Yarrowia lipolytica: one gene and its partners. The protein of the gene in region 3 purifies or fractionates together with the protein of the main gene of each other region. This does not show direct contact. Links are inferred from orthologs where the notes say so. Each region holds a gene or a part of one and is shown on either strand. Other genes may lie near its edges. The genes, in order: YALI1_B05690g, YALI1_C17680g, YALI1_E18802g and YALI1_C25829g.

The links.
Region 1: the proteins of YALI1_E18802g (region 3) and YALI1_B05690g purify together in Saccharomyces cerevisiae (affinity purification with mass spectrometry; 3 studies listed by BioGRID, with this or other methods). This does not show direct contact. The link is inferred for Yarrowia lipolytica from reciprocal best matches to the Saccharomyces cerevisiae genes APL1 and APS2.
Region 2: the proteins of YALI1_E18802g (region 3) and YALI1_C17680g purify together in Saccharomyces cerevisiae (affinity purification with mass spectrometry; 4 studies listed by BioGRID, with this or other methods). This does not show direct contact. The link is inferred for Yarrowia lipolytica from reciprocal best matches to the Saccharomyces cerevisiae genes APL1 and APM4.
Region 4: the proteins of YALI1_E18802g (region 3) and YALI1_C25829g purify together in Saccharomyces cerevisiae (affinity purification with mass spectrometry; 3 studies listed by BioGRID). This does not show direct contact. The link is inferred for Yarrowia lipolytica from reciprocal best matches to the Saccharomyces cerevisiae genes APL1 and APL3.

The regions. Positions count from the first base shown.
Region 1 is NC_090771.1:565,607-571,565, reverse strand, and holds YALI1_B05690g (uncharacterized protein), read right to left. Parts: upstream 2,494-5,959; coding exon 2,419-2,493; intron 2,274-2,418; coding exon 1,914-2,273; downstream 1-1,913. Other genes in the region: YALI1_B05711g (uncharacterized protein), read right to left, coding at 1-416; YALI1_B05698g (uncharacterized protein), read left to right, coding at 1,601-1,638, 1,685-1,910. UniProt on the Saccharomyces cerevisiae protein: Component of the adaptor complexes which link clathrin to receptors in coated vesicles. Clathrin-associated protein complexes are believed to interact with the cytoplasmic tails of membrane proteins, leading to their selection and concentration.
Region 2 is NC_090772.1:1,764,462-1,772,090, reverse strand, and holds YALI1_C17680g (uncharacterized protein), read left to right. Parts: upstream 1-3,174; coding exon 3,175-3,297; intron 3,298-4,054; coding exon 4,055-5,314; downstream 5,315-7,629. Other genes in the region: YALI1_C17719g (uncharacterized protein), read left to right, coding at 134-1,309; YALI1_C17700g (uncharacterized protein), read left to right, coding at 2,068-2,823; YALI1_C17640g (uncharacterized protein), read left to right, coding at 7,549-7,584. UniProt on the Saccharomyces cerevisiae protein: Component of the adaptor complexes which link clathrin to receptors in coated vesicles. Clathrin-associated protein complexes are believed to interact with the cytoplasmic tails of membrane proteins, leading to their selection and concentration.
Region 3 is NC_090774.1:1,875,358-1,883,093, reverse strand, and holds YALI1_E18802g (uncharacterized protein), read left to right. Parts: upstream 1-2,743; coding exon 2,744-2,770; intron 2,771-2,828; coding exon 2,829-4,955; downstream 4,956-7,736. Other genes in the region: YALI1_E18843g (uncharacterized protein), read left to right, coding at 1-2,403; YALI1_E18749g (uncharacterized protein), read right to left, coding at 5,053-7,736. UniProt on the Saccharomyces cerevisiae protein: Adaptins are components of the adaptor complexes which link clathrin to receptors in coated vesicles. Clathrin-associated protein complexes are believed to interact with the cytoplasmic tails of membrane proteins, leading to their selection and concentration.
Region 4 is NC_090772.1:2,579,272-2,587,847, forward strand, and holds YALI1_C25829g (uncharacterized protein), read left to right. Parts: upstream 1-3,669; coding exon 3,670-3,775; intron 3,776-3,868; coding exon 3,869-6,630; downstream 6,631-8,576. Other genes in the region: YALI1_C25789g (uncharacterized protein), read left to right, coding at 1-2,154; YALI1_C25877g (uncharacterized protein), read left to right, coding at 8,463-8,576. UniProt on the Saccharomyces cerevisiae protein: Adaptins are components of the adaptor complexes which link clathrin to receptors in coated vesicles. Clathrin-associated protein complexes are believed to interact with the cytoplasmic tails of membrane proteins, leading to their selection and concentration.

The DNA of each region.
Region 1 (5,959 bases), on a different chromosome or scaffold from region 3:
GCTCGGTCTCGGGCCGTCTTGGACAGCAGATCCGGCCGGGGTGTGAAGTTGACGTAGTCACTAGGCTGCTGTTGAGCCACAGACTGTTGCTGTGGTTGTTGTTGCTGCTGTTGATGCTGTTGATGCTGTTGCTGTTGCTGTTGTTGTTGCTGTTGCTGTTGCTGTTGCTGTTGCTGTTGCTGTTGCTGTTGCTGTTGATGCTGTTGCTGCTGCTGTTGGTACTGGCTGTGCTGTTGCTGCTGGTACTGCTGCTGGCTGTTGTACTGTTGCTGGTTGAACTGCTGCTGCTGATCCAGAGACGTGTTGGACTGGTTGGAGTTCTGCTGATACAGCCCCGACGGAGGCGGCATGAGGTTGTGAGGCTGCTGCGACCCGTACATGGGCTGGCCCTGGCCAGGAACCCACTTGTCTGTCATCTTGCTTGCTTGTGTGGAGAGCGGTGTGGGTGTAGTTGTAGCTAGTGTGGTGTCTGTCTGGGTCCAACTATCCGAGTGTCTCTCTGTGTGTCTGTGTGTGTGTAAAAGGGGCTGGGTTAGGTGACGTGGAATTATGCAGGAGAAAAGGTTAACGTGTGTGAATGTAGAGGAACACCAGACGGGTGGAGAGGGGAGCTGAAGGGTGCGAATATATAGACGGTGACGGGTTTTGTGTCACACGCCACACGCAGGACTGTCTCTTTTTCTTTTTCTTTTTGCCCCCGAATTCGGACCACAACAACACGTATTATTGCAACATTAAAAGTCAGTTCGTGACAGACAGATGAGGCACACCAAAAATAATGTGAAATAGTTAATCGCAAAAGGGCGGTCTGATTGGAGGTGGATTTGGGTCGGGAACGCGACAAAAATAGTGATTTTTGTACACATGGGTGTCTCTTCCTGGTTGTATATTTTTTCTTCAATTTTCCCCAACCTTTTTCTCCACTTTTATCCGATTTTACACTGATTATTCCCCCCACCATACGTGAGCCTATTTGTGGGTAATTAATATTATTTTCGCTCTGTTTTAAAGAAAAAAAGCAACTTGAGGCCAAAAATACGGCTACAACTATCAGTTCAAAAATAGTACAAAATACAAAAATATTAAACCGGAAAAATCAACGCCCCCATTGGTCGATAACTATCCCTATCTGTGATCTCAACGACTTTCATTGTCAATATTTGCATCGGTTGATTTTGCAACCTGCCCCGGGTGTTTTTTAAATATTATTTTCCTATTTTGAATCTTTTTTTACTGTTTTTCTTTTTCCTTTTTCTTTTTTTAGTATTTTTCTTTTTTTTTCTGTTTTTCTTTTTACGTGACTTTTTTACGTAGCCTAATAGTGTTGATCTACGCGTACAGCAGAACGACATGCTCGGGATGAACATGAGACACAGACATGGTGGAGAAGATCTGAAACATCTAGGAAGATCAGAAAAGTGTGTGTATTACTATGGATTTATTTCCCATCCTCTAGGAGCAATATTCGCCAAGCTAGAGTGATTTACATCTCTGGTGACTACTCAAAGCGCGTAAAACCGCCCCGAGCGAAGAGAAAAATCACACAATAAGTCAACCAGACGTTCTGAATCGGAAGATGTAGATAATTTGATGTGACCAGATGGTTGGTAGTGTCACCGCTGTCCTCCTACGTTGCATGTTCGTTCTCCTTGATAATCACGGAGTAGACAAGACCTGGTAAGAGATATCTCAACTATTCTTATACCATTGTCATCGGACAGACCAGGGCTTTCCAATGGTACCATAGTTTCGCTCAAACATCCTCTCTTCGCGTCGTTCTGCTCGTAACCTCATGCGCTCTCCCCTGCTCCTACAATAGAACCCTCCCTCCCCCTCAACATGTCAATATCATAAATCATATTGTCCTGGCTCTTGTTCGACGCCTCCATAGCCCATGTCCTTCCCTATAAATACTAACTGGCCTTGTCAATCTCCTCGAGTCGAGCCAGAACGACCTTTTTGCTGGTTTCTTCGAGCTCGCCGGCCAGAAACACCTCGTCGAGGATCGCATACACCTTGTAGAAGTTGAAGACAAGATCCAGCTCGCAAACGTTGCCGAAAAACGTGTCCAGCACCTCCACAAACAGATGGATGGCCTCCAGGTAGAAGAGCTCATTGTCGGATTCGTCGACCACAATGCAAAAGAAAAGTCCCGCGTACCGGCGGTAGATGACCTTGTAGTTGCCCAGCTCCACAAAATTGCTCTGGTATCGCTGATCTCGGGCGGCCACCAGCCGATGCACCTCTCCCATCAATTTGATTTTTTCCGTGTCCTGGGTTAGTCCATGCGGACAAACGATATATGGCTGTGTTCGTCTGGATCTTGCCGTTCGAATGGTGGTGCTTCCATCTTGATCGCAGCACTCCTCGCCGAGTTGGTCAAGATGAAGAAACCTGGGAGCCCCATCATGTACTCACCGAATACGCATTGTACCACTTGGCAAGTCGCGTTTTGCCCTGTCGGTTCTGTACCAAAATGTACTGTAACACCATTATGACGGCTTTGTGTCGCGAAATGTCGTGTCACCGCTGGTCGAAAGAAATGTATGGCTTTCGTGACTTGCAGAGTGGTACAGCGGCGTCTGCATGAGGTAATTACAGGGGTGCTTAGTCAGCGGAGGGGTGGGACAGGCGTGTGAATGAGGCGGGTCGATGAGGTCACGTGACGGTGTCTCGGGAGGGTAAATTGGGTGGTGATTGTGTGTTTTGGTTGGTTATGGCATGTTTTGGTGTTAGTTGGTCGACTCTTGTAGCACTTGATATGGGTGTATATGATGGATTGGGGAAGCTGCTTGAAGTGGAATGCATTGACGAGGAAGAAGAATGCTGGAGCCCCAAACTGTCGAATCAGGAACCGATTCGGAGATTCAAAAGTCAACTATCAACCTTCTTCGGTCCTTCGACCTCTCCATCTTCAGCTATTGTGGTCTTTTTGGGTGCTACACTCAGTATATAAGCACTTGCATATCTAGAGTCAATAAGATGGGGGAATTCAGAAGGAGACAGGAAAGAGCTGTGGGGTGATTTTTTTTAATAGAGACTGATGGCTGTTATTGCAATTTGGGTCAATTTCGCCTTTTAGGGATCCGATGCGACGTTCCTAGGGCTGGATATGGACGATTTTGCCTATCAGAAAAGAGCAAATAAAACAAAATGAAATGAAATAAAATAAAATAAAATAAAATGAAATAAAATAACATAAAATAACATAAACCAAAAACTTCCCCCAAAACTTCCCCCAAAAAACCCCCAAAATGAAAAAACCGCATGGCTGCGGACAAAAAAGATACCACCACAGACGAAGGAAAACATACACGGCCAAAACGCCACCACGTTTATATTAGAATATGTTCGCTGCGAATTCAATGGCGTGGCTATTTTTCCAACCAGTGTGACTGGAGCCCGAGTTGGAGACCCGTTTCGTAGGGTTCAGGTCGTTCACACGCCCAACAGCTGAAGATACGGATACCTGGCGTTGTTTTAAGTGAAAAGCGACGATATTTCCATGGACTGGAGTTGTCCAAAGCGACAGCTTCATTTTGTATATCTACAAGTAGTCGATTTGGCCATTGTACTGTTCTCAAAGTGCGCTCAACAACCGCGGCTAGTGTCTGTCGGCAAAGTTGCACCCCTTAAAACGCTGGGAATTAATTGTGTTAAATCCAACTTTGTTTGGGGTTGGCTCGGGGATTTTCTGCGTTGTAATTGCCAGAAAATGGCGATAATTCCAGAGAATGGGAATGGGGGTTTTGGACAACGACAGCTGCGACAATCGTGTTGGAAGTGTCGAAAAACGTGCTGGAATCACTGAGAATATTAACTGTTAATTTTAGAGCCCCATGGAACCACAAGACGGGCACCACTGAGTCGATGGAGGGACGGAGAAAGAAATGAAAGAAAAAAAAAGAAAAAAAAAAAGAAAGAAAAAAGAATAAAAAAAAAGAAAGAAAAAAGAAAAAAAAAGAAAGAAAAAAGAAAGAAAAGAAAAGAACTAACCTTCCCGTAATAACTGTAGCCTTCCATTAACAGATGAACTCGCCTTAATTTCAAACCAGCGACAAGAACGACACACCTCATTCGAGCCGGTAGAACAACAGACGAGGCCGTTGGAGAATTTGTTGCTCCGGAGGAGCTGGCCAGGAACTGCTGAGGGGACTGGACGCCCGAGCCACCGACCAATGGTCAAGAACTGGATCCACAGTGGTGGAAGCCTGCCGCGTCCTACGTGTCCTACTTCTCTTCCCACAAGGACCGCCTCACTCTCGTCCGCGTACAGTAGAGCATCAACGAGTGGAGCTGACAGACTATATCTGAGCGTAAGCAACTGGTTCTTCCTGATCAGATTTTGGTTCTCCCCCCACTTGTGGTCATGCTGGTGCCCAACTGCGGAATGAGAGGAGCCCTAGAACTGCTTGAACGAACCCAGCTCCTAGAACCACTCTTCAGCACCTGAGGATAGATTCGACAGTCGCCGCCAACTCCGGACTAAGACAAATCATCTAATTCTCAGTCTGGAGTACATTTGTTGAGCCCACAGACAGGTCTTCTGTTCGAAGCCATGTGAGAGCGCTTGGCGAGACTGTGGACATCTGTCGACATTTAACCAACTGGAGAGAATACCTCTGGACCTGAATCCCAAAAACAGGATGTATGCCGACAGGGAATGTTCCAGCGCAGCTGGAGACAAGCTGTACTACTGGAGAACTCCGTCAACCAGGAATACCCATGTAGTACAAGCCAGTTGAAATGGAAACGGTTGAAGAACAGAATGACGTAGTGATAGACCAAAGGAGTTCCGTAAACGCCTTGACAAAGACACCAAGCTGTGCTGGAGAGTAAAAGCTGTTTTGGACAATAAAACAAACTGTCTACTCCATCGCATCTTGGCATAACGGTCTATGCTGGGAGCTCCAGCTGATATCCTGTCCACGCTCTACATTCAGCTATTCTTGAGCATGGCGTAGCGCTATATAGACGCTTGCAGAGTTCAGGAGCGTTCCATGCTCTTTGGTATCGATTCACTTCTCCAGCGCAGAAGCTGTTGATGGTCTGTAACTGCTACCAACCGCTACTGGGGTGAAGTGCAAGTCACAGTGGCATTTTCAGATGGTTCCAACGGGAGAAACTGAGGACTGTTTGCCAGTTACTACGGAGACTCCGTTCCGCTGACAAAAGCCACTACCAAATGCAATGAGGATGTGTTCTGGGAGAAATCACAGCTAATATCGCATCCGCAAGACTTGCTAGAGGTGGTTCCCCTCTCTTTTCGTCGGAGAGGTTCCAGAAGAGTCACCTACCGAACTTCTCCGTTAGCGATCAGAAAAGAGGCCTGAGTGCCAGGATCTCGTCGGATACCTTCCAGCGTCACCAATGGTGTTGGTCCCTGGAGTGTCAATGGTGTTGGTCCCTGGAGTGTCAATGGTGTTGGTCCCTGGAGTGTCAGTAGTAATAGCCAAGTCCAGATAGTAAGGAGATGTCTGTGAGAGCCGGAGATGGACAATAACATGTCAACTTCCCACCGACTTCCGATTCTGACCACCACCGATATCCTTGTCCAGAACCAGTGGCTCTCGAAAGACTCAAGTGCCATGAAAAAAAGATCCAGCAGCTAGATGTTGACCTCAAATCGACAAGTCTGTATCTGGGCTGGGCTGAATCTCTTAGAACCGGTTCATGGAATTACTTGAGAACTCCAACCAACGGATCAGAGTCTGAATACTGCCCAGAGAAGGCGAGGTGATTTTTCGGACGGTGGGACAGATATATTAGTGGTGTCATTCCTTACTTCATCCACAGGGGTGAGAAAAGTATTGAACTTGTGTATCTATATAGTAATTAATAAAAAGACATTTTTTTATAATTTTTTATTATAATTTCATTAACCATTTTAACCATTTTAAACATAAAACAGTCAAAAAAACTATTTACTGTTAAAAAAACAAAAATAAAAATAAAAATA
Region 2 (7,629 bases), on a different chromosome or scaffold from region 3:
TAAGCGACATTAGATCCTGGGCGGTTGCGGGCTTCCATGGGAAGGGGGCAGTCGCCGGGTTATTGACCTCCTGCTAAACTCTTCTACTCCCACTGAGGGAACCAGTGTAGACTCAGCTGAGGCCCTATCCAAGATGTTCATGAAACACTCTGGTAACCTTGACACCCGCCTCCTCAAGGCCGTCATGGTCGCTCCAATGCCTCTGTACCGGAGATTCGAGTTCCTGACGCGCCACCTCTCTGTCAGGGACCAGTCGGACTATTTGCCCATGATCAACGACTTCAAGTCTGCCCACACGCACGCTAAGCAGACTCGTGATTATGAACCCCTCACTGAGATGTGCTCGGGTTTCTTCCGCGCCATTGCTCAATACGTTGGACTTGTTGACGACAGCTCTTCTACTCCTGCAGCCCATGAGCGACAGTTCAACATGGATCGCAAGTCTTTCTTGAAGGATCCACGACAACAGTTCCTTGTCGTGTCCTACTTGCAAAGCGTCGCCTACGCACTCCGAAACTCTCCAATTGATGACTTCATCAAGTGTTGCCGTCTCCCTTGTCTCCTTCCTGATGCAGGGGTCACGTGGTATTCTCAGCGTGATGACAACCACTGGGGTGATGTGCTCGCCTGCATCGAGGCTCCAGAGTCCACTCGTTCTGAGCTCAGTATCACCGCTGTCTGCGCTGATAAACAGATTGCAGATATGTTGGAGCGTTACACAAAGGTCATTAATCATCTCCCCAGCTCTGAACGGAAGCTTCTCGCCGCCAGAGGTTCCTGGTTCCCACGACTTCCCGCGAAGGGTGACAGTGCTCTCATGTGGAGTGTCGGGTCTCATGAGGAGGTTTCCGATGCTTCCGCTGTCCAGGCTGTGAAGCCAGTCTCCACCGCTACTCACACCCCCTCGGCTACCTCTCGTGCCACTCGTGCTGCTCCTCGTGGCAACGTGGCCACTACTCGAACGAGGTTCGCAGCCGTGTTCCATGTGTCTTTTACTCAGGATCGCACTCGTTCAACCAATGCTCCGATTCTGAAAAGCTACAGTTCACCAGTGCTGACAGCATGGGATTTTTCAACAATGTCTTGCGCTTGTCCGCTAATGACAAGAAGCAGTACATTTACTTCCCTCGTGAGCAGTTTCCTGTCAAATTCAGCTCTGTGTTCCTGCTGTGGAAGATCCAAGACTGGCCCGCGCTCAAGAGCTTCATCAAGTCATACCCTGGCTACGTCACTGCCCGGGCGGATACACCAAGCCTGGTATACTATCGGAACCAGATGGTTGTCGAAGCAGGATGTAAGTGTTAACTAAATATCAACAAACTTTCATTTGGTTTTTAACAAAAAGGAGCTCATGTATTTACAGTACAATATAGTATGCAGCAAATAAAATAAAATATGGTACCCCTTGAACGCCCTCCAACTACTTGTAGTTTTAATACACGTCTGGATGTCAATTATACTCGAAGATATTGAAAAAAAAAAAAAAAAAAAAAAAAAAAAAAAACATTGCAATTACCAGATTTGCCGGATCCAACCAACCCTTCCTCAAATCCGCACTTATTACCCTCCAAAGGCTCGAATCGAACACACTGTCAGTCGACGCGCATCTTTCCTGAACTGTCAAAACAAGGTTTCTTTGTCATGTGATCTGCCACTGACTAAACACTTTCTTCAAGTCAGCAGTACTACACGAAACGTGCAACGAGACTTGCAACTTGACGCCGGCTCCTTAAAGCCCCATGTTTCATGCCGCTTTATCCACTACGCTGCCCGGCTTCGAACTGGCAACTGCGCGGAGGCTGGTCTGCCCTGCGTCTAACATGCACAACAGTGGTATCGGCAGGCAACCTGCCTAATTGGGAGAAACATCAACATTCCCGACCAACGTCAAACATAGCAAAACAGAGATCCGCACACGACTGCAACATTGTCTTAGACTGCCCCAAAACATCACCCATCGGTACCAAACTTGCTACATACCATTTGGTCATACCATTTGAACACACCATTTGAACACACCATTTGGACACACTTGTACGCAGCACCCACAGCGATTGTCCACCAGCCATGGACAGACCTTTCATCATGGAGAGCTCTCTTTCCACGGCGATTACAAACACAACGTCGTCGTCGCCCAAGCGGATATACGCCGGTCTGCAGCAAATCCGATCGATTTTCAAGAGTCTGGTTCGAGCTGCTCGACAGACGTCCAACATTGATCTATGCTCCAACTTCGAGGAGTACTCGCAGTTGCAGGAGTCGTTCGAGTATAATGTGGCATCTAACCTCGTGACGACCATTGAACGCATGCTTACCAGCGCAGACACCATCCAGCATCTCCCCTTTGCCATCGATCTCCTTCGAGGAGCTCTTTTGCTGCATCAACCCAGTCGGCGCATCTTTGCCACCGAAAACAACATGGGCCTGTTCATCAAGCTGCTTGGAACCCCCCAGGCCGTTGACGTGACGATTCGAGCGCTGGTCGCTTGTTTGCTGCGTGAAGTGCCCAACATCCGACTGTTTGAACACATGGGAGGCCTGGCCACCATCTGCACGCTGTTCAAGCGAAAGGAGACTCCCAAGGACGTGAAGCTCAAGATCCTCGAGTTTCTCTTCTTCTACCTCATCCCCGAGACTCAGACCAGGCAGAACGTGGACAAATCCAAGACTCTGTACCGACAGACCATGTTGAGAGACAATGTGTACCGCCTGACGACCGAGGACAAGCAGATCATGCTAGGCAAGTATCTCAGTAACGTCAACGGACTTGTTCGAGAGCTGCATGAGAGCAAGCCCTTTGGCGATATGATTCTTGAGTGGTGAGTCATGATTATACTAACGGACTAAGTAAGTTGAATAGATGGATATGGGAAATGTGAGTGGCCATGAATCTGGGATATCCAAGATACCATGGCCCGTTGCCTGTCGACAACACTAGAACATGCATTAGGTGCATTGTATTGTACATCTGTATTTCATTTGTAATTTCAAATCACGTGAAAACAATAGAACAAATCTAGAGATTTTCCTTCACATAACCTACATGCTTAATCATCAAGCTTAATCATCAAGCTTAATCATCAAGCTTAGTCACTATGCTTAGTCAGACACGCAGGGGTGCATATCGTGCATGCGCTAATTGTCACGAGCTTACGTGTTGCCCGCCATCTGACCATGATTTCGGCTATTCTACTGTACAACCAGAAGGGCGAGGTGCTGATCTCGCGTCTCTACCGCGACGGGTTGCGGAGAAGCATTGCCGATGTCTTTCGAATTCAGGTCATTAGTAATCCCGAGGTGAGTACCGAAGGGAGGAGGATTGGAGCACGAAATTGATGGGGGCGACTGGGCGACTGAGGGAATGTTGCAATGGAAGGCTCATGGCCGTGTATGAGTTGCTATGATGAAAATTGCGACCATCACGCGACCAGTGACCGTGTGGTGACGCGAATGCTCAGGAGATTGAGCTGGAGGGATTAATAGAGGTTGACTCTGACTGCTAACAGCTGGATAGGTGTTGACAGGGAAAGTGTGGTCATTATGATTGTTTTATGATGGTCTGTTCTCTTTTGTGCCATGTCTATGCTCTCTTAGAGGACGATGAAGGACGTGTGTGAGAGAGGACATTCTTCTTGAGAGGAAAACCGCCATTGGGGCAGAGATTGAGTCCCTTTACTACGCCTTGCAACCATACGGTGATATCGATTCTACAACTGCTACTAAGCTCACGAAGCACAAGCTATACTGTTTCAGCAACGTATCTGACTTGGGCATAGTTCTGCTCATCTCACGACTAGTTCAACTAGCTCAAAAACTCAGCGTGATCCCTCATGATTCGATTTCTTCTGGCTCCGCTTCCTTATGCGACACCGAGACAACGAGTGACATCTACAGCAAAACCAGATATATGTCCAGCTGCTACCACTCTTTCAGCCACCCTACCTTTATATGGAGTGCTCTCAGTCGTATCTCATGCTTCGTTCCGGCATGAAGATCGATTCTCACCCATTTCAACTCGCGATTACAGCCACCATCCCTTTCACTACTAACCCAGGTACGATCACCGATTCTTACCATTGGTTCAACCTCCTTCATGCACTGCAAGTCCGAGGACATGTATGTCGTTGCGGTGAACCGGTCGAACGTGGATGCCGGCATGGTGTTTGAGTTCCTCTACAAGATTGTCGCCCTCGGCAAATCCTACTTTGGCTCTTTCAACGAGCAGAGCGTCAAGGAGAACTTCACTCTGGTCTACGAACTGCTTGACGAGATGATCGACTTTGGCCTTCCCCAAAACACAGAGATGGATATGCTGAAGCAGTATATTCAGACGGAGGCCAAGCGAAGTGGCAGCGAGTCTGGCTCCAGCGCCGTGTCTGTGTCTGTTCCCGACGCCCTGAGTAGATCGAAATCCATGAAGGCTCTCAAACGGTCCAAGACCATCACCTCGCAAATCACAGGTGCCACTCCCTGGAGACGAGACAACGTCAAGCATCACCGAAACGAAATGTTCGTGGATGTTGTCGAGAAGGTCAACCTACTCATTTCGCCCACCGGCTCTGTGCTTGTTGCTAATGTCGATGGAACCATTCACATGAAGTCGCAACTCAGTGGAGTGCCAGAATGCACTTTTGGACTGAACGATACTCTTCGTCTCGACCAGGAGCACGACGAGGACGACCCTAGATCGTCCAAGCGAGGTGGCAGACGTGGCTCCACTGCCCCCACCGGCTCTGTGGGTCTACAGGACTGTGTTTTCCACCACTGTGTCAAGCTGAATAACTTTGACCACGACCGGTCGATCAATTTTGTGCCTCCAGATGGTGAATTTGAGCTCATGCATTACAAGTGCGTGGAGAACCTAAGCATCCCGTTCAAGGTGGTCCCCAGTGTGCAGATTGTCGGAAAGTCACGAGTCGAATACGATATCGTTATCAAGGCGAACTTCCCCAAGCAGCAGACAGCTACCAACGTCGTCATCAACATTCCCACGCCTCGAAACGCGGCAAAAACCACCATCAACGCATCCAACGGCAAGGCGAAGTACGACTCGTCGACCAACCAGATTGTGTGGAAGGTGTCGCGTATCAGTGGAGGCTCTGAGATTTCTCTCCGAGCCACAGCCGAACTCACATTTACCACGGAGAAGACGCCGTGGAACAAGCCGCCCATTTCGATGGACTTTGAAATCACCATGATCACGTGCTCCGGTCTGGTGGTGAGGTACCTCAAGGTGTTTGAGAAGAGCAATTACAACACCGTTAAGTGGGTACGATACTTGATGAAGGGTGGAAGCTACGAGATTAGATTTTGATGGAGGAGTATGGATGTAATTTAACAAAATGGACAATATGGATTGACTGACGTGAAGGAGTGGAGTAATACTGGCACTCTGGCGAATAGTTGACGACCGACGATGTGCGATACATCTACCTACAATTCACGTAGGCCATCGCGCCTAGACAAAACAGCTGCATTGGACAGTCAGCAACAGAAACGACACTAACGTTCAGAAAATTTGCACCGAAACTTGGAGAAAACCAGAGCACCTGATATCTAGTTTCGCTGGCTGAATGCCCAGCACTTTTTGGGCCAGTTTCAGCATTGTGATCCTTGCTTTCACTTCCCCTACTTCCTTGTCTTCCGGTGGTACCTACAGTCAGCTTTCGGGAGCGCCGAGTCGTTCGCCGCTGGGTTTCGGTCAGAGTGAGGGTTGGAAGTTGCAACAGATTCTCGTCCCCACAATTCTCCAGTTATTCAATGATCTGGAGTGAGTGTACCCCGTGTTGTCTTCATCCCTCGCCAGTTACTCGAGAGTAGACACCATTGAGATGGTCTTTACCAGGTGAACCAGAGAAGACCTAACCAGAGTCAGCACTTCTGAAGAAGCACTGCCTCTGACTGGTATCTGATCTGTTCAAATCAGCGGGGGAAGTTCGATTGGATCCTCACCTACTGTCGGGCAGTTTATTGCTACTGTTTGAGCTGTCTGCTCTTTGATACCGCAACCAGTTACCACTGTCCCCAACTCCCTTCCCACATCTGAGGGGGTTGACGATTGGGGTCCAGGAGTCGCACTGCCACCACTGTTACCTCCAAAGCTTCCACCAATATGGGATTAGCGGCAGATGCGACGGGGCCAACTAGGGACTCTCTAGTACCTGTTGCTAGAGGAATAAAGATCTTCTTTGGAACTGCAACAGATATCGGTTATAACTTTGATGCGAGGACTTGGTTTGGGTAGGTGACCCGAAGGAGTGATCTTTGGAGGGAGTAGTTTCTTGATCGAGCAGTGGGCTTGACTTGGGGTCTTCGATGAGTTCAGCAATCGGACTCACTTTGAGAGTGGGACCTGAATTGGTGTTGTTTTTGGGAGCTGTACTCGGGACAGGAGCTGACACTCAACAGAAGGGAATCCATCTGGAATTGAGACCTCATTGGAAGTGGCTCTTCGGTTCCCGATCAGATTCAGATGGGTAAAGAGTTGAACGAGTGGGATCAATTGTTGCCCTGGCTGCTGATAGGGTCAATTGGGAATTCAGTTGGAGATTCGTTGAGAGAAGCTCGATTGACTGAACCGGGAGATTCAATCAGGACTGATCAGACACACTTGGTGCTTATGTCTCAACCAGTGATTCCCAGGAACTATATGGGAAGGAGACTGCGCTGGTGATTCGATCGGTGTCTAAAGAGATGGTGACGGGGGCTATCTACGAGTAGAGCAGGTGAACTGGCTAGACGGGCCGTTAGGAACAATAGACAGCAAGTTACAAGTACTGTAAAGTTGAAGGATGGTTTTGAGCATCCTGTGAATGGTGATGCAACTGGGGTTTTGGACTCAGTGAAACGAGATTCACTTCTGGATGGATGGGTCAAAGGAATCACTGGAGAACAACTGGCGATTCGAACTGGACAACTGAAGACTCAATTGAACTAGTCGTAGAGCCAATCGGACAACTGGATACCCTACTATACCCTGAGGAGTTGGAATGAGCGGTCCCTGAAATGTCTGTATGGGCTCAATAACGAAACTGAGGGCTGCTTTCTGAACTCGGGAACCAGGACTCCTGTTTTTCCTGGAACTAGTCCATCAGTGACTTACAGAGATTGCACATAGATTTTGAAAGACAATTGTCTATAGTCGACTCTTTTCACGATTCAACTTGCTTTGCACTTCTCGAGATGCTGGTCATCTGGGCACTCTCTTGTCAGCTTGGAAAGCGCTTTAAGTAGCAGACAGGATCCAGACTGTCAAGTTTCCCACAAAGTACATGGCAGCAACGAAGAGAGAATGTCTTGGTCCGATCTCATTATCTGGGTGGAGGCTATAAGTCAGAAGCTTGTACAGTATCTATTTCGGTCCTCCGACAGTGCTGGAATGGTGAGTAAAAGTTATGATGTTCTGTCGACGAGTCAGGGTAAAGAATGGAGCCTTCAGAAGGGATTTAATGGTTATCTGTTCTGCAAATTGTTCATGGTGATCTTGTTTAGACCAGGCTGGGTGTTTGATCAGCCCAGAATTCCACCTCTCCTTCAGGTCTTCACTCAATGGCCAGCAAAGTACTCAGAGACAACAGTCTGAAGGTTCCAGTTGGTGTTGGAGGTGATGTGTAACTGAACATCTTCCAG
Region 3 (7,736 bases):
GAGCAGGCACAGGAGGACTCGGAACTCAAGGTCAAGGAGTTTAAAAGCGAGTTTGGCGTCTACCAGACCCAACTGAAGGAAGCTGAGGAGGTACTCAAGACCCACCAGTCTGCTCTGAGAACTCAGAGTGAGTCTCTGGCTCGGGTTGTGGACGAACAGACTACCCGACGACGTGTCGAGCTGGAGCTTGGCGACAAGCTGGGTGTTGTGGCTAACCGTCTGATTGAGCTAAATGCGGTCAAGCGACAGACTGAGCGAGAACGACGACTTAAAGAGACTGTTGCCAACCTGAAGCATGTTTTCTCGGCACAGAAGGTCCACGGTCTCGTCTACGACCTGTGCAAGCCCAAGGAGAAGCGACACGATCTTGCTGTGGAGACCATTCTCGGTAAGGACATTGATTCCATTGTTGTGGACAGTTTCAAAACTGCACAGGACTGTATTGCATACCTCAAGGAGCAGCAGGGCGGTCTTGCCTCGTTCATTCCCCTCGATACTATCAAGGCCATGCCTGTCAACTCGTCGTTGCGGTCGCGTCTTCGTGGGGCTGTACTTGCCATTGATGCCATTTCCTTTTCGTCTCAGTACGAACGGGCTTTCCAGTACGTTTGTGGCTCGGCCATTGTGTGTGACGACCTTAAGGAGGCTAAACGCCTTGGATGGAGCCTGAATGTCAAGGCTGTGACCACCGATGGCTCCGTGATTCACAAGGCTGGTCTTATGACTGGTGGTACTACCCAGAAGGGCCACCATGGCGGCAAGCGAGCATCCAAATGGGACGAGTCTGAGGTTACAAAGCTCCAGGCAGAGAAGGATGCTCTGGTTTTGGAGCTACAGACTGTTGGTCGGCAAAAGTTTGACCCCGAGCGTCAGGATACACTGCAGCGTGAGGTTGACAAGGTGCGACAGGAAGTGTCTGCTGCCCAGAAGCATGTTGCCAGCCTGAAGGACCGTCTCAAGGATATCAATTCGCAGCTCAAGTACTACAGCGAGGAGGCTGCCAAGAGCAAGAAGCAGATTGCCAGCACCGCCAGTGATCTCGAAAAGCTCGAGACACAGAAGGCCACCATTCAACAACGCCTTGACGAAGTCTGGTACACCGTGTTCTCGTCTTATTGCACTCGTGTCGGCGTGACTGTTGAGGACGTGTTTGCATATGAACAGACCCATGGCTCTCTCTCCGCTGGTGCCGAGCGAAAGCGGCTCGCATTCTCTCAGCAGATTGCTACTCTCGAGTCACAGCTCAAGTTTGGCTCCAAGCGTGTGGACGAGTGCAAGGGGCGACTGGCCAAGATTCGACAGTCTATCGATGATGACAAGGCAGCTGTGGATGGCTGGGAGGCCGATGAGGCCCAGCTGAGAGAGGACATTGGTATTCTGGAAGAAAAGGCTCGAGCTGAGGCAAAGCAGGTTCAGAAGCTCACAGCTGCCGTTCAGAACGCGTCAACTGAGTCCAACGCTGCCAAGGAGCATCTTTCCCGAGCTCAGGGCGTGGTCGATAACCTGCGACGAAAGCTTGCCCAGTCTGAGACCGAGCTTGAGACTGCTGCTACTCAGCGGTACGAGGTTCTGCGAGAGTGCAAGATTGAGGGCATTGAGCTTCCTCTGGTGTCAGGTGATCTCGAGTCTGTGCCTCTGGTTGAGGGAGACGACTCGCAAATGGATATCGATATTGAGGTTGACTTCTCGTCGCTTCCCCAGGGCATTCGAAGACTTGCCGACGATTCTACTCTTGTTTCCAAGATCAAGGCTCTGCAGGCTGAACTGGAGCGAATCAACCCCAACCTGAAGGCCGTGTCTCGACTCGAGCAAGTGGAGGCCGAGGGTGCTAGCATCGAAGCTGAGTCCAAGAGAGAACGTGAGGCACTCCAGGAGCTGCAGGCCCAATTCAGAGAGGTGCGAGACGCTCGATGCGATAAGTTCAATGCTGCCTTCGAGCACATTTCCGGAGTCATTGACGCTACGTACAAGGAGCTCACTCGTTCTGATGCGTTTCCTCTGGGAGGTTCGGCTACTCTGACTGTCGAAGATGAGCATGAGCCTTACCTTGAGGGAATCAAGTACCACGCCATGCCCCCCATGAAACGATTTCGAGAAATGGAGCTTCTCTCTGGAGGAGAGAAGACTATGGCTGCTTTGGCCCTACTTTTCTCCATCCACTCTTTCCACCCGTCGCCCTTCTTTGTGCTTGATGAGATTGATGCTGCTCTGGATAATGCCAACGTGCAACGAGTCGCCAACTACATTCGGAAGCATGCTGGCAGCAAGTGTCAGTTCATTGTGATTTCTCTCAAGCGGGGTCTGTATACTCATGGAGAGTGTTTAGTTGGTATCTACCGAGATCAGGAGGTGAACTCGTCCAAGATTCTTACTATGGATTTGAGATCGTATCCCGATACTTAGGCTGATGTAGGATTGGATTGGAATGAGTTTTTATTGATGAATTATATATATATTATTGGTGTTATTCGGATACCTACAAAACTGTAGAGTGAGGTGACGTGTCATGGCATGATCTGGCATAATCTGAGCACGTCCGAATCTGCTTCATCAGTCGTTTGTAGTTTAATTCGATTTTTTGATATATTTTCCAGTATTTAGCAATAATTCAGGCCGAATTCCGGTACCCATCTCAGCATCGCCATATTAGCTTTGCATGGTCTCCCCCCTTACATAATGGGCTGCGCGATATTGCATATGCACTAACAGTCGGAACACGTAAATTGTTCTTGTACACGACAAGATGAGTGACTTGAAATTCTTCACCAAGGTGAGTATTTGGGGTGGTCGCGCTTTGCGGGCGCGTCTTGGAGGTTATGCTAACTCAGGGAAAAGCTGCGGAATTGAGAACGGAGCTGCAGGCAGCCAAAGGTCCGAAAAATGTCGGAAAGAAGAAGGCGGTGCTGAAGAAGATCGTGGCCAACATGACCATGAGCAACAATGAGATGATTGTCTTATTCGAGGACATTATCGACATGATCCGATCGTCCAACGATCTGGACGTGAAGAAGATGTGTTTCCTCTATCTCATCACATACTGCAAGGCTAAACCTGAGCTGGCCACGGGAGCGCTGGACCCTCTTCTGGACGATGCTGGATCCCGGGAGTCGCCCTTGATTCGGGCCCTGGCCCTCAAAACACTTTCCTCTATTCCTCTGGAGGACTTCATCAGGGAGGGAGTGGAGCCTACCAAGCGACTGTTGTTTGATGAGGACCCCTATGTTCGCAAGACTGCGTGTCTGGCCGTGGCTAAAATGTGGTCCCATGACACCAAGATTGTTGAGCACTCTGACTTGATCGCACTGCTCAACAAGCTGCTGAACGATGGAAACCCCACTGTGGTGGCCTCAGCACTGGCTGCCCTGATGGACATCACCGAAAAGTCTAGTGATTTGCAGCTCACACTCGATCACAACCACGCGTCCAAGATTGCTACCGTGCTTGGGGAGTGTTCCGAATGGTCGCAGATCAGCATGCTCCAGGCGCTACTATGCTGGACCCCACAGACAGCTCTGGAAGCGGAGCGTATGGTGGAGCGTGTTCTTCCGCGGTTGCAGCACTCTAATGCTGCTGTGGTTCTCGGAACTGTGCGTCTCATTGTCTACCTCGCCAATTATTCGCAGAACCTCCTGGAACACGTGCCCCAGATCCCCACCAAGCTGAGTTCCGCAATGGTCAACCTCATTTCGAGGCAGCCTGAGTTGCAGTACCTTGCGCTCCGAAACTGCATCCTTATCCTCCAATCAAAACCCCAGCTGCTCCAGGGCCTGTCTGTTAAGGCTTTCTTCTGCAAGTACAACGACCCCATCTATATCAAGACCACTAAGCTGGAGCTTATCTATTTGCTGGCCAACGACAGCAACATTGGAGTTGTGCTGCGTGAGCTGCGTGAGTACGCGACGGAAATCGACGTGCAGGTGGTTCGAAAGTCTGTACGAGCCATTGGAAAGCTGGCCCTCAAATTGGAGTCTGCTACAGCCGCAAAGGCCAGTGTCGACACACTCATGTACCTTGTGGAGACCCGGGTGTCATATATTGTGCAAGAAGCCATTGTAGCTCTCAAGAACATTCTTCGACGATACCCCGGTCGGTTCGAGGGCGTCATTGGTGAGCTGTGTGAGCACCTGGATGCTCTCGATGAGCCGGAGGCCCGTGAGGCCATGGTCTGGATTGTCGGTCAGTACGCTGACCGAATTGATGACTCGCATCTCATTCTGGAGCAACATTTCCTTTCTACGTGGCACGATGAGCCCGTCAACGTTCAGCTTGCACTTTTGACGGCCACCGTCAAACTTTTCATCCTGCGACCTACCAGAGGCCAGGCGATGGTTCCCAAGGTGCTCAAGTGGGCTACTGAGGAGACTGACAACCCCGACCTGCGAGACCGAGGATACATGTACTGGCGTCTCTTGTCGTCTGACCCCTCTGCTGCCAGAGACATTGTGCATCCCGATAAAATGCCTCTGATCCATGTTGAGGATGAAGCAATCATGGACCCTCGAGTTCTGGAAGAGTTGGAGCTTGGCATCGGTACACTCGCTTCTATCTATCTCAAGCCTGTTCGCCATGTATTCCGACTGGCCAAACCCAGAAAGCTCACTCCATCGCCGTGTCTCATTCCTCGAAAAGACAGCGATGTGGATGAACTTAAACAGCTTGCTGAGCAGGCTGAAAAGTCAAAGCAGCCTGCTCCTAGCATGCCAGACATTGCATCATTGAATCTGGGCACTCTTCAGAGCCCATCTCTGGCCCAGTACACTCCGCTGATCCCCACCCCTACCACAGGTACTCCTACTACCCCCAGCTTCCCGCAAATGCCCCAGCGATCTAACAGCGTTGCTGTGCACCATCAATCACAGCAGCTGCTGGATGACGGAAGTGGCAGCCAAGGCTACTTCGTTACACAGAACGGTATTGCTCAGGGCTCTCAAAATACCCAGAACTTGTTGTGGTAACATTTGTATGTACAAGTACAGTAATGTACAGTACAGTACCCCCATATGTAATATTTACAATAGATTTTATATTTTATTGTGTTGACTTGTCGAATGTCTATTCGATTGTGATAGTCTCTGCTATAGGCATGTTCGGCTCAGGACCCTCCTTCACCTTAGTCCAGTCAATATCCCTACCGACGAGCTTGGATAGAATGATCTGTGCCCCTGGTTTACTTAACACAAGGCCATTCTCCGTGCAAAAGGCCCCAGCAACACATGAGTGACAACCCCAGTCGCATTCACAGTCGTTAACTCCATCGACAGCGTTGTTGACGATCTCTTCCACAAACTGAAAAGCCTTCTGTGACAAGCCAGAGCCGCCCTCGCCGCCTACCTTGTCTCCAAATATCAACCGTGAAGGCCGTCTTCGAGTGGATTGCCGTTTAGCAAACTCCTTTTCAGGAGCTTTACACTCTGTGCGTACATCTCCTGGTCCACAGACAACATATCTTGGAAAGAAGTTGATGAGAGCATGTTCGGCGGCGTGAATTGCACCGGCCAGAGAGAGCTTCTTGGCCTCGATCAGTTTCATAGTGGATTGTGGAATATCAATCCAGAACCCCTTTGTGTTTATCACAAACGACGGATGGTCAACCTCCACAGCCTCCAGGATTCGATCTCGCTTGTCAAGCTTGAAGAAGCCAAAGACAGTCGTTGTGATGCGGATGTTTCCAAATGACACCTTTCCGCCCCCATTTCCATACGAAAGCTGTTTCACCTCCTCTGACTGGACTGGATCCACATCTGTGAAGTCTCGCTGTCTCGTATACCAGTCCACATTGACCCTTCGGACCTTACCCATTCGTTCTTCCACTGAGACATCAACAACAAGGTAGGGAAACCCTTGGTGCATAAAGATTCCTCCCTCGTATAACGAAAATGGCACTCTGCTCTCTTCCAGAAGCTCAATGATGTGACCCTTGTTGTGGGTGATATCCACTACAGCATAGTGGTTCTCCTCAATGCCTCTAATGGAAACATCCTTAGCAGGATTGTCAGAGAACCGTGATGATGTGTGATAGAAGGTTGTCTCGTCAGTCTTGTCTTCAATTAGTTTGTCCTTCACTGTATGCAATAAAGGACCGAAAAATTCCACATCATGTGTCAGCTCAATGGGGAACTCCGAAGCTGCACATTGAATATGACTTTCGAGGAGTAATAGGTTAGTAAGAGGCTCGATTGTAAGGGCTTCTGTAGGCTCGGTAAGCATTTTGTCAGGGTTTTTCATGTAGAATTGGTCCACGGGATCTCCAGAACCAATGACAATAGTCAAACTGTCTGATCCGTCCTTTCGTCGTCCAGCACGGCCACTCTGTTGTCGTAGATTAGACACAGTCATGGGAAATCCGGCAACGATACATACGTCCAGCTGTCCAATATCAATTCCCAGCTCCAGGGCGTTAGTAGCAACTATACCCACTAAACAACCAGCAAACATGTCCTGCTCGATTTTGCGGCGGTCTTGTGGAGAATAGCCGCCGCGGTAACTCATAACCAAGTTAGACAGATCGGGTCTGCCTTCATCCACAAACTTTTGACGAACACCTTTGATAATTTGCTCGCAAATAACCCTGACTCTGCAGAAAACAATGGTACGTACGTTCTCTTTCACCATGTGTGCCAGAAGAGAGATGGCTTCACCGACCACAGATACGCGGCCGCTTCGGGGATCTGTGGGCGATATGTAAGGAGTGTTCCAGGCTAAGAAATGTTTGAGACCGTGCGCTCCGCCAGGTGAGTCGACCAAAGTGATGGATCCCTCGTCTAGGCCAAACAAATTACTCATGTGAGTGAGAGGGCTGTTGATGGTAGCACTGCAGGAAATGAACTGTACCACGTTATTCCCCAGTAACTTGCACACGCGCCTTAGCCGTCTCAGAATAAGACTCACGTGTGTGCCAAATAGGGAGTTGTAATAGTGGATTTCATCCACCACGACATATCTCAGGTTTTGGATGAACTGCCTCCAGGAAGATCTATCTGCATCTAGTTTTGGCAGAATGCTGACATGCATCATATCTGGATTTGTGAAGACGACACGAGCCCGGTCTCTAATTTCGCATCGTTTCTCAAAGGGGGTATCTCCATCAAAGGTTTCGACTGTTCCATAGTCAAGCCCAAGGGCCAGGGAAAGCTCTGTCAGCGATCTCTTCTGGTCCTGTGCCAGCGCCTTAGTTGGAAAGATAAACAAGGCCCTGGATGAATCATTGTTTAGAAGCGACTCTAGAACAGGCGTCTGGTAAATTAGTGACTTTCCCGAAGAAGTGGGTGTACACACAACCACATTTTGTCCACGATATAGGGCATTCAGTGCATCAGCTTGGTGGGTGAACAACTTGGTGACCCCCTTGGTCAACTCAAATGCTGCCATGACTTCCTTGTTCGGCTCATACTCCAGCTCGCCATATCTGGCTTCCTCTTCTGGAATGATCATATATCCATTATCGACAATCTGCCCAGAGTAGGACTCCTTCGTTGTGATATCAGTGATGAGTTGAGTGACATCCACCATTGCCTGTCCTTGGTTTGTGGCTTTCTTCCGATCCACATTCATAACATCCACAAATGTCGGTATTTGTGGAATCTCAATCTTTTCCCTCAAGTACTCCACCTCGGTCCCTTGGTAATCTAAGGATTTCATTTTTGATCTCAAAAATTCCACCGCGTCCTTGAACTTGGCATTCCGCTTGGCGGCCAGCTTGCCCATGTCTTCTACACTGAAATTCCAGGTTTGCTTGT
Region 4 (8,576 bases), on a different chromosome or scaffold from region 3:
GATACTCCGGGGCACGCTGATTTCACCTTTGAGGTGATCCGATCAATTCGTGTGCTGGACGGAGCTGTTTGTATTCTCGACGGAGTGGCTGGAGTTGAGGCACAAACCGAAAAGGTGTGGAAACAGGCCTCGGAGATGGGCATTCCCAAAATTGCATTTGTCAACAAGATGGATCGAGCTGGAGCTGGCTTTGGACGTACTGTCAAGGAGATTGTGAGCAAGTTGAGAACACGTGTCGCGCTTCTGACCGTTCCCGTGTTTTCCAAGTCGTCAGATCAGGTGTTTGAGGGCGTTGTTGACATTTTGAACGGATGTGTCATCACATGGACTACTGGAGGAGACGGAAAACAGACTGTGGTTGTTCCTGTTTCCGAAGCGTCCGCCGAGGTGCAGGAAGAGTATCAAAAGGCCCGTACTGCACTGGTTGAAACGCTCACTGAACTCGATGAAGAGCTGGTTGAAAAGTTTCTGGAATCTGAAGATTACATGCAAATCACTACTGAAGACATTAAACGGGCCCTGAGAACCGCCACCATCAACAACGACATTGTTCCAGTTCTGTGCGGTGCATCTTTTCGAAACATTGGCGTCCAGCCCCTCATGGATGCAGTTGTCGACTTCCTCCCTTCTCCGGCAGAACGTCCTCCTACTGACGCTTTAATTGCCAAGTCGTACACTGGAGGTAAGAAGTCCAAGGTCATTCCGGAACGGGCCATCACTCTCGACGATTCGATGAAGAACCTGTGCTGTGCTCTGTGTTTCAAGGTTGTCCAGGATCCCCAAAAGGGCACACTTGTCTACGTGAGAGTATACAAGGGCGAGTTGAAGCAGAACAGTGTCCTATACAACACTACATCTGGAACCAAGGACCGTGTTTCTCGTCTGCTCAAGGTTCATGCTGATACCACCTCAGAGGTCACGTCTATCACTGAGGGTAACATTGGAGTCATTTTGGGTTCCCAGGGACTCGCTACTGGTGATACCATTGTCTGCCACAGTATCAAGAAGGACGGTGTAATGAAACTTCCCCCGGATAACCGTTTGATTCAGCTCAAGCCCATCGCTGTCCCTCCTCCGGTGTTCTTTGTTCGAATTGACCCTGCGTCCATTGGCGACACTCGACCCATGAATGAGGCTCTTGAACTGCTTCTTCGCGAAGATCCCTCTCTCAACGTTTCGTTTGATGATGAGACCAACCAGACCACACTCTCTGGTATGGGAGAACTTCATCTTGAGATTGCTCAGAACCGACTGATTGAGGACTTCAAGGCCAACATCGTCATCGGTCCTATCATCATTTCTTACAAAGAGACTCTTAATGAACCTACCAAAAGTATCACCAAGACCGTCGAGCCCGAACCTGGAGCTGTCAGCACTGTTCGACTTCGATTGGAGCCCATCACTGAGATGGATGAAGCTTGTGAAAACGAGAATGTGATTGATCATGAACAAAACACAGTTTCTTTCCCTTACGAGCTGTCTGATGCCGACCTTGAGTCCGTTGGAGAAGGAAACCAGCGCATCTCGTTTGAACGAGATACAAAGGAACTTACCCCCGAAATCATGGAAGAGTGTTTCCGAGTGGGATCTATTCCCCCTCTTGTGTCCTGCGGCCCTGTTTGCAGACTCCCTCTTCGAAGTGTACGAGTTGTAATCGAAGCCTGGCATATCGCGCAGCATATTAACAATACAGCTTCTCTCAAGACAGCAACCCGTCTGGCTATCATGGAGGCTCTGTCTACTGCCAACGCCACTCTCATGGAGCCTATCATGAACGTCTACGTGTCTGTCAACGAGGCTGACATCGGTCTAGTGGTCAAGGATCTTAGTGGATCACGAAACGGACAAATTGTGAGCATTATGGACCCCTCTCAGTTGAACGAAGGAGATATCCACTCGGAGGAGTACGTTGCAATGGCGACCAACACCTACGTTCCTGCTGATTACACCATGTACCTTTCTAAGCATCAGGATCAGACTCGAACCCAACAGTCGGTGGTGCATGCTCGGGTTCCTCTCCGAGAGATGGTTGGCTACCTAAAGACTCTGCGATCCATGACCCAGGGTCGGGGTAGCTTCACAATGGAGGTGGATCAGTACGAGGCAGTTACTCCCGACAAGATCCAGCCCATTGTCGACAGCATTTTTGCTTAGTCATGGAATGAGCTGTTTGAGGACAGAGACATAGTCGATTGGTGTATATAGAGATTGGATTGTATATATGAATTTTTAATAGGAACAAAAAAACCTGTGAGTACACAACTACGCTTATGTACTTGTACAATATTCAAAAAAAACACGCAAAAAAAACCATACCGTCGCAATCCGAGAGGACAAAAAGTTGTTGATCAGCTTTGAGAAGCCACCGGAATCAAACCGGCTAATGTTCCTCCACTGTCATTAACATGACATGGACAGGAATTGAACCTGCAACCCTTCGATTACAACCAAGTTGACTGGAGTCGAAAGCTCTACCATTGAGCCACCACATCAACAACTTTAAAAACGGTGTTTTTTTGGGTCTGGTCTACGTTGTATGATTAGTAATATGGGAAAACGGTGGGAAAAAAAAGAGGTTGAAATGAGATTTTGAGCAGATATAGATGTCCAAATGGTGCCAAATTACTCTTCTATTGCCTTAATAATTGGTATTTGTTCCCTTTTAACGTTCTAGCGATCACCGTTAAGAAACAAATGTACTTCCTTGCTTCAATGATAAAGGCAGTCCAGCATCGGCTTTTTTTCCCTAACATGTGTCGATCGACTGATACCGTTGTATTATGACGGCTATCCAACACATATCTTATCTTTCGGGATGAATATTATCGTTATACGTGCCTTGAGTATCTGTAAACTACTGTATATAGTCAAGTTGTTGCGTTCATACGCTCAGTTCATGTCTCAAATTGCGCCTCTGACATGTGCTACGGGCGTGTTAACGCTGCGTCTTTATTCCGGCTGCGTTAGCTCCGCCTGGCTCATGTATAGAATGAGCGAGTACGAGAATGGAGGGGTTGTGGACCGACCGTGAGTGGAGAAACATGTGTCACGTGAGTCAAGCTGCCGAGCTTGGTACGACTACGAGTGCAAGTGCGACAAGTCGCGGCTGGAATGCTCCAAATATATTGGTGCACATTTTTCCACCTTGCTCATGCATGTCAGAGTTACTTATGTGAGGCGGTTATCTCCATCTGGGCCGCTACAAGACGGAGTGAAACAGCGTCGACGCAAGAATTGGGAGCTGGAAAACTTTGGAGCGAATTCTAACCAACTGGCAGTCGCCAGAAACGCGTCGAAACACCAGACAGGTGTCAAATCTGGTTCTCAAAAGACACATGGCTGGCTTTGACCAACCTTCAACTTTATCAGACGGGCCCATCCGAAGCAAGTTTAGGATAGAGCAAGGAGGGCGGGGGATATGTTAAACGGGGTGTTGGGGACACTTTTGACGGAATTGGAGCGGATAGAAGTAATCTCCATAGCTCAATGAATTGATTCCGACTCTTGCGAGCAAAATCCGCCCGCTACTTCCCGCAGTAACGGGCCCCCTTATTTTCACCCCTGCGTAAGGCACGTGATGGAAATTCGCGCTTAGGTTAACGTTGCCGAGCTGCGTGTCGTGTAAATAGAGAGAGCTGAAATTATCTCACCACGGCCTGTTCAACCACCATGGAGGAAATCAAAAACCTGAAAAACATTGGGCGAAAAATCCGGCCCAAGGAGAGCCAGCAGAAGCTCGGCGAGCTGATTCGGCCCAAAGAGAAGGATATGAAGGGTGAGTAGGCGTCCGTAGACGCTGAGAGGGTAGGAAGATATTGAGAACAATATATCAAGACCTGGATGTCAGTCATTCGCCATATTAACCCAGGATTGACACAATTCATTGCGGATCTGAGAAATGCACGGGCTCGGGAAATGGAAGAGAAACGAGTGAACCAGGAGCTGGCCAACATCCGACAAAAGTTCACGGACCCCAATCTCAGCGGCTACCAAAAGAAAAAGTACGTGGGCAAGCTGCTGTACATTTACATTTTGGGCTACAAGGTGGACTTTGGCCACCTGGAGTGTGTCAAGCTCATCAACTCGACGAAATTGAGCGAGAAACAAATGGGATACATTGCGCTGTCGGTGCTCATCAATGAGGATCACGAACTGGTGCATATGGTGATCAACTCTGTGCAGAAAGACCTGGATGGTATGGACGAGATGCACAACTGTCTGGCGCTTCATCTGGTGGCTACGGTGGGTAGCGAGATGATGGGCAGCGAGCTAAACCACGACGTGTACAAACTGCTGATTTCGCCTACCAGTTCGACCTTTGTGAGGAAGAAGGCTTCTTTGGCGCTGCTACGACTGTTCCGAAAGAACCCCAATATTGTGGAGCCCCAATGGTACGACCGAATCATTGCTCTGATTGACGATCCGGACCTTGGAGTGGCTACCTCAGTCTGTTCTCTGGCTATTGCTTTGGTTCAACACGACCCAGAGGCCTGTGCAACTTCCCATATCCGAGTAGTCAGACGACTCTACGACCTGTGTGTCAACAACCAGGCGCCCAGAGACTATATTTATTACGGAGTCCAGTCGCCGTGGTTGCTAGTGAAGATGCTCAAGCTCCTGCAATATTACCCTCCTCCGGATGCTGCAAACGAGACTACCACCGACATGCTGCGCCAGACTGTGCTCGAAACTGTGGATAAGTGCTCCCAACCCGCCCAGAGCTCGCAACAAAGTAACGCCCAGCATGCCGTCTTGTTTGAGGCTATCAACCTGTGTATTCATATGGACATGGCTCCCGATGCAAAGCTGCTGTCTATCCTAGGCGATTTTATTTCGTCAAAGGAGACAAACTTAAGATACCTGGCCCTCACAGCCCTGGCCCGTCTGGCTGCTCGATACGAGGTCTCGTCGCAAATGTCGGAAAACAGTGCACTTCCTGTCAAAAAGTTTCTCATTACGGTGCTTGGAAACCTCAAGGACAAGGACATTTCTATCCGACGAAAGTCTCTGGATGTGCTCTACTGTGTCTGTGACTCGTCCAACGTCAAGACTATCGTCGCCGAGCTGCTTAGATACCTTGTTACTGCTGACTTCGCCATCAGAGAAGAAATGGTCATCAAGATTGCCGTTCTGGTTGAAAAATATGCAACTGAATACAAGTGGTATGTGGACATTTCGCTCAAGCTGATTGCTGTTGCCGGGGCACACGTGTCCGAAGAAGTTTGGCAGCGAGTCGTTCAGATTGTCGTCAACAACGAGTCTCTCCAGCAGTACGCCAGTCAGACTCTCAACACTTATCTCGCGCAGCCCCAGTGTCAGGAATGCATGGTCAAGACCGGAGCATACGTCTTGGGCGAGTATGGAGACCTGCTAACAGAAGTCCAGCCCATCCAGCTCTTCTACAACCTGCATTCGCATTTCAGACAGGTGTCTGCGCCCACCAAGGCTATGTTGCTGTCTACCTACATCAAGCTGGCTAACATGTTCCCAGACATCAAACCGCATATCTCACGAGTTCTCACGGCGTACACTTCCAGTGCGGACTCTGAGATTCAACAACGAGCCATTGAGTACGTGTCAATCATCCAGAAACCGGAGCTTCTGAAGACTATCTGCGATGAGATGCCTCCATTCGAAGGCCGAACGTCTGCTTTGCTTTCTAGATTGCATGCTCGAGAACTTACCTCTCAGGACCAGCGTTCCTGGGGTCTGGGCAAGTCTGGAAAGTCCGAGGTTGACGCCATTCGGTCCAAGAGCATCATGCGAAAGAACAGCCAGATTTCTTCGTCCAACAGATCGGATTCTGCGTCTCCCTTTGGTGACGAAAATAACGTGACTACCGGAAACAAGACCACCCCCCCTCCCCCTCCTTCAAGAGGCGTTTCCCACTCCGGCCTGTCGCCCAACTGGGATCTGGGCTTCTACGATCTGTGCATCAAGGACGAAGGCACCTTCTTCAAGGACCCTGTCATGCAGGTGGGTCTCAAGTCCGAATACAGAAAGAACCTGGGTTGTGTAATTCTGTACTTTGTCAACAACTCGGGCACCAAGATCTCATCTCTGTCGTGTGAAATCACAAACAAGGAGCCTGACAACCTGACGGTGTCCACCAAGAACTTCCCGGACTCGTCCATCGAGCCCAACAAGCAGACCCAGCAGGTTATTATCCTCAACTGCCACAAACCCTTCACCTCGTCGCCCACCATCAAGATTACGTACATGGCTGGAACCCTCAAGGTGCTGCATCTCAAGCTGCCTATTGTCATTTCCAAGTTCATGACCGCCAGCCAGGTGTCCACAGGTGACTTCCAGAACCGATGGAACCAGCTGGCAGACAAGGAAAGTCGGCGTATCTTCAAGCCCCAGGATATCTCCAAGTCTGCCAACCCTGCTCATAACCTCAAGGTCATGAAGGGCTTTGGATGGTCCATTGATGCTCAGCAGAGCACTCGGGACGCCATCTACGGCGCAGGAGTACTCTACACATCTGTCAGTGGCAACTTTGGACTGCTGGGGTGTCTTCAAAAGCTGCAGGGCAATCAGTTTAGCATCACCATTCGAGGCACCAATGCGGTCTTGCCCGCCATTGTGGGCAAGTGTATGAGCGATTATTACCAGGACATTATGTAGGCATAGGGAAATAACACAGCGTAATATAGAATGAATGAATGAATGATTTATTAATGATATCGTGAGTGTTATACCTGGAAGCAGTGGTTGTATGTACTGCTGTGTCACATGGCCTAACCGTCCCAGAAGAGGTTGAATTCCCGGCACTGGCACTGGGATGAACTGAACAGGAGGAGTACATCGGAGTGCACATTCTGTCAGGGCTGTACAAGTACAGTACACCCATACTTAGTTACTGTACTTTGACTCTATTTGTACTCGTACTACCGATGTATGTACTTGCAGTCAAGTGAGCAGGGGCTCATTGAGTGTTTCTACTGTACGGGTACCGCACATACAGTACAATTGACAATTGCCCCAGAAACACCCCAACACCACCACTATGAAGTGTGCTCCATCTACCTCGGCTACTGGTAACTGCCATGCATCTAAGCGTCGTGGAGCACTAATTTCACAGCAGCAAGTCGCTTGTCTTACTCGTGTTGAGTGAACACCCTCATCACCTGTCTCAGCTCGAAAGCTAAAAGATGGCGACAAGAGAGGGACGTTGGACACACAAGGAGATGATCACTGTGAGAGTGAGAACTTAGCTGAATGGGTGGTGATTACGTCCAAGTGGCACGGTGTCACAAAGGTGTCTCCCATTGCTTTCAAAGCAGTCATTTCTACTGTTATTGTACCAGTACTGTACTCTGGATCACCCAGCACTGTACATTTACAGTGCACACCTCAGCTGTAAGAAGCCCCACACAGACGGCACTACTGCACATGTTAGTTGAGACCCAACAGATTAGTCTGGAGGAAAGTGGGACTGGATGTTGGAGGGAGGAGGGGCGGAAAACAACAATCAAACGAGAGTGTGACGATTTTCAAAGGGAAGATTGCCCCAGGTTTATCATGTGACTTGCAGACCCACGTCGAATTATCTATGCTGCTTTTTTTTATCCTTTTTTTTTTGCACTCCCTTTTATATACAGTCCTGCATTCCCCACCGCCTCTTTTACGAGACCCTACGGCATTTATGTAGGCTTCCCCAGACCGGTGATAGCTAACAGTAACTCACAGCGAGAGTTAAACTGTGGTTTGGAGAGAGACGGGGATGGGTGGGCACAGTACTGTACATACTTGTCCAAAGTAGCTGCTTATGGCTGAATTATATTGTGCTTGTACCTATAGAATGTAGCTCCAACGTCAAATAAATGTGGAGCTTACTGTACAATACGATACGAGGTTTCGTCCAGTTTCAGTGTCTGCCAAAACGATCCAGAAGGGGACCCATATTTTCTTATTTTTCTATGTTCTAATTTTCTCTTTTCTAATGTTCCAATTTTATATTTTATATTTTCCAAATTTCCACATTTCGATTTTATATTCTAATTTTCTGCCAACAGGGCCAGTTTTTTCCCCCCCTTCTGTTCCTTCTGTTTTGCCTTTCTTTTCAAACCTTAAAATGTAGCCTCTTCTCCGCCCCCATTGTATGGACATTAAAAAGTATCAACCAGACACGTCTTTGGAAATTGACAAAATCCGCCACCTCACACCCCACTACGAGCACCAGTCGTGTGTGCGAGTCTTCTGAGCTACATCCAACCAGCCCACGCGAGCCCCACGCGAGACCCATCATCGTCTTTCTACGCAACTCGGCTCCTCGGTTATTACCCCGCCTATATTCTTCTCGGTTATCGGTTGGCACATCACCACAACACCTCGAGCTGTGGATCACGGAAAAAGGAGTTTGAAAGCGGAAAAACGGAAAAACACACGAGATAGTAGCGGTCTAGATCCAACCCGACCGATTTAGCGATCGCTCTTTGCCCTATTGTTGCTTCACCATGTTCAACTCAGTCAACAAGGAGGAGGACCAGGATATCATCATTGACGAAAGTCAAGTGTCGATGCAAGAGGGTTCGGAGGAACCTGAGGGCTCTGGAACCGTGGAATACGAC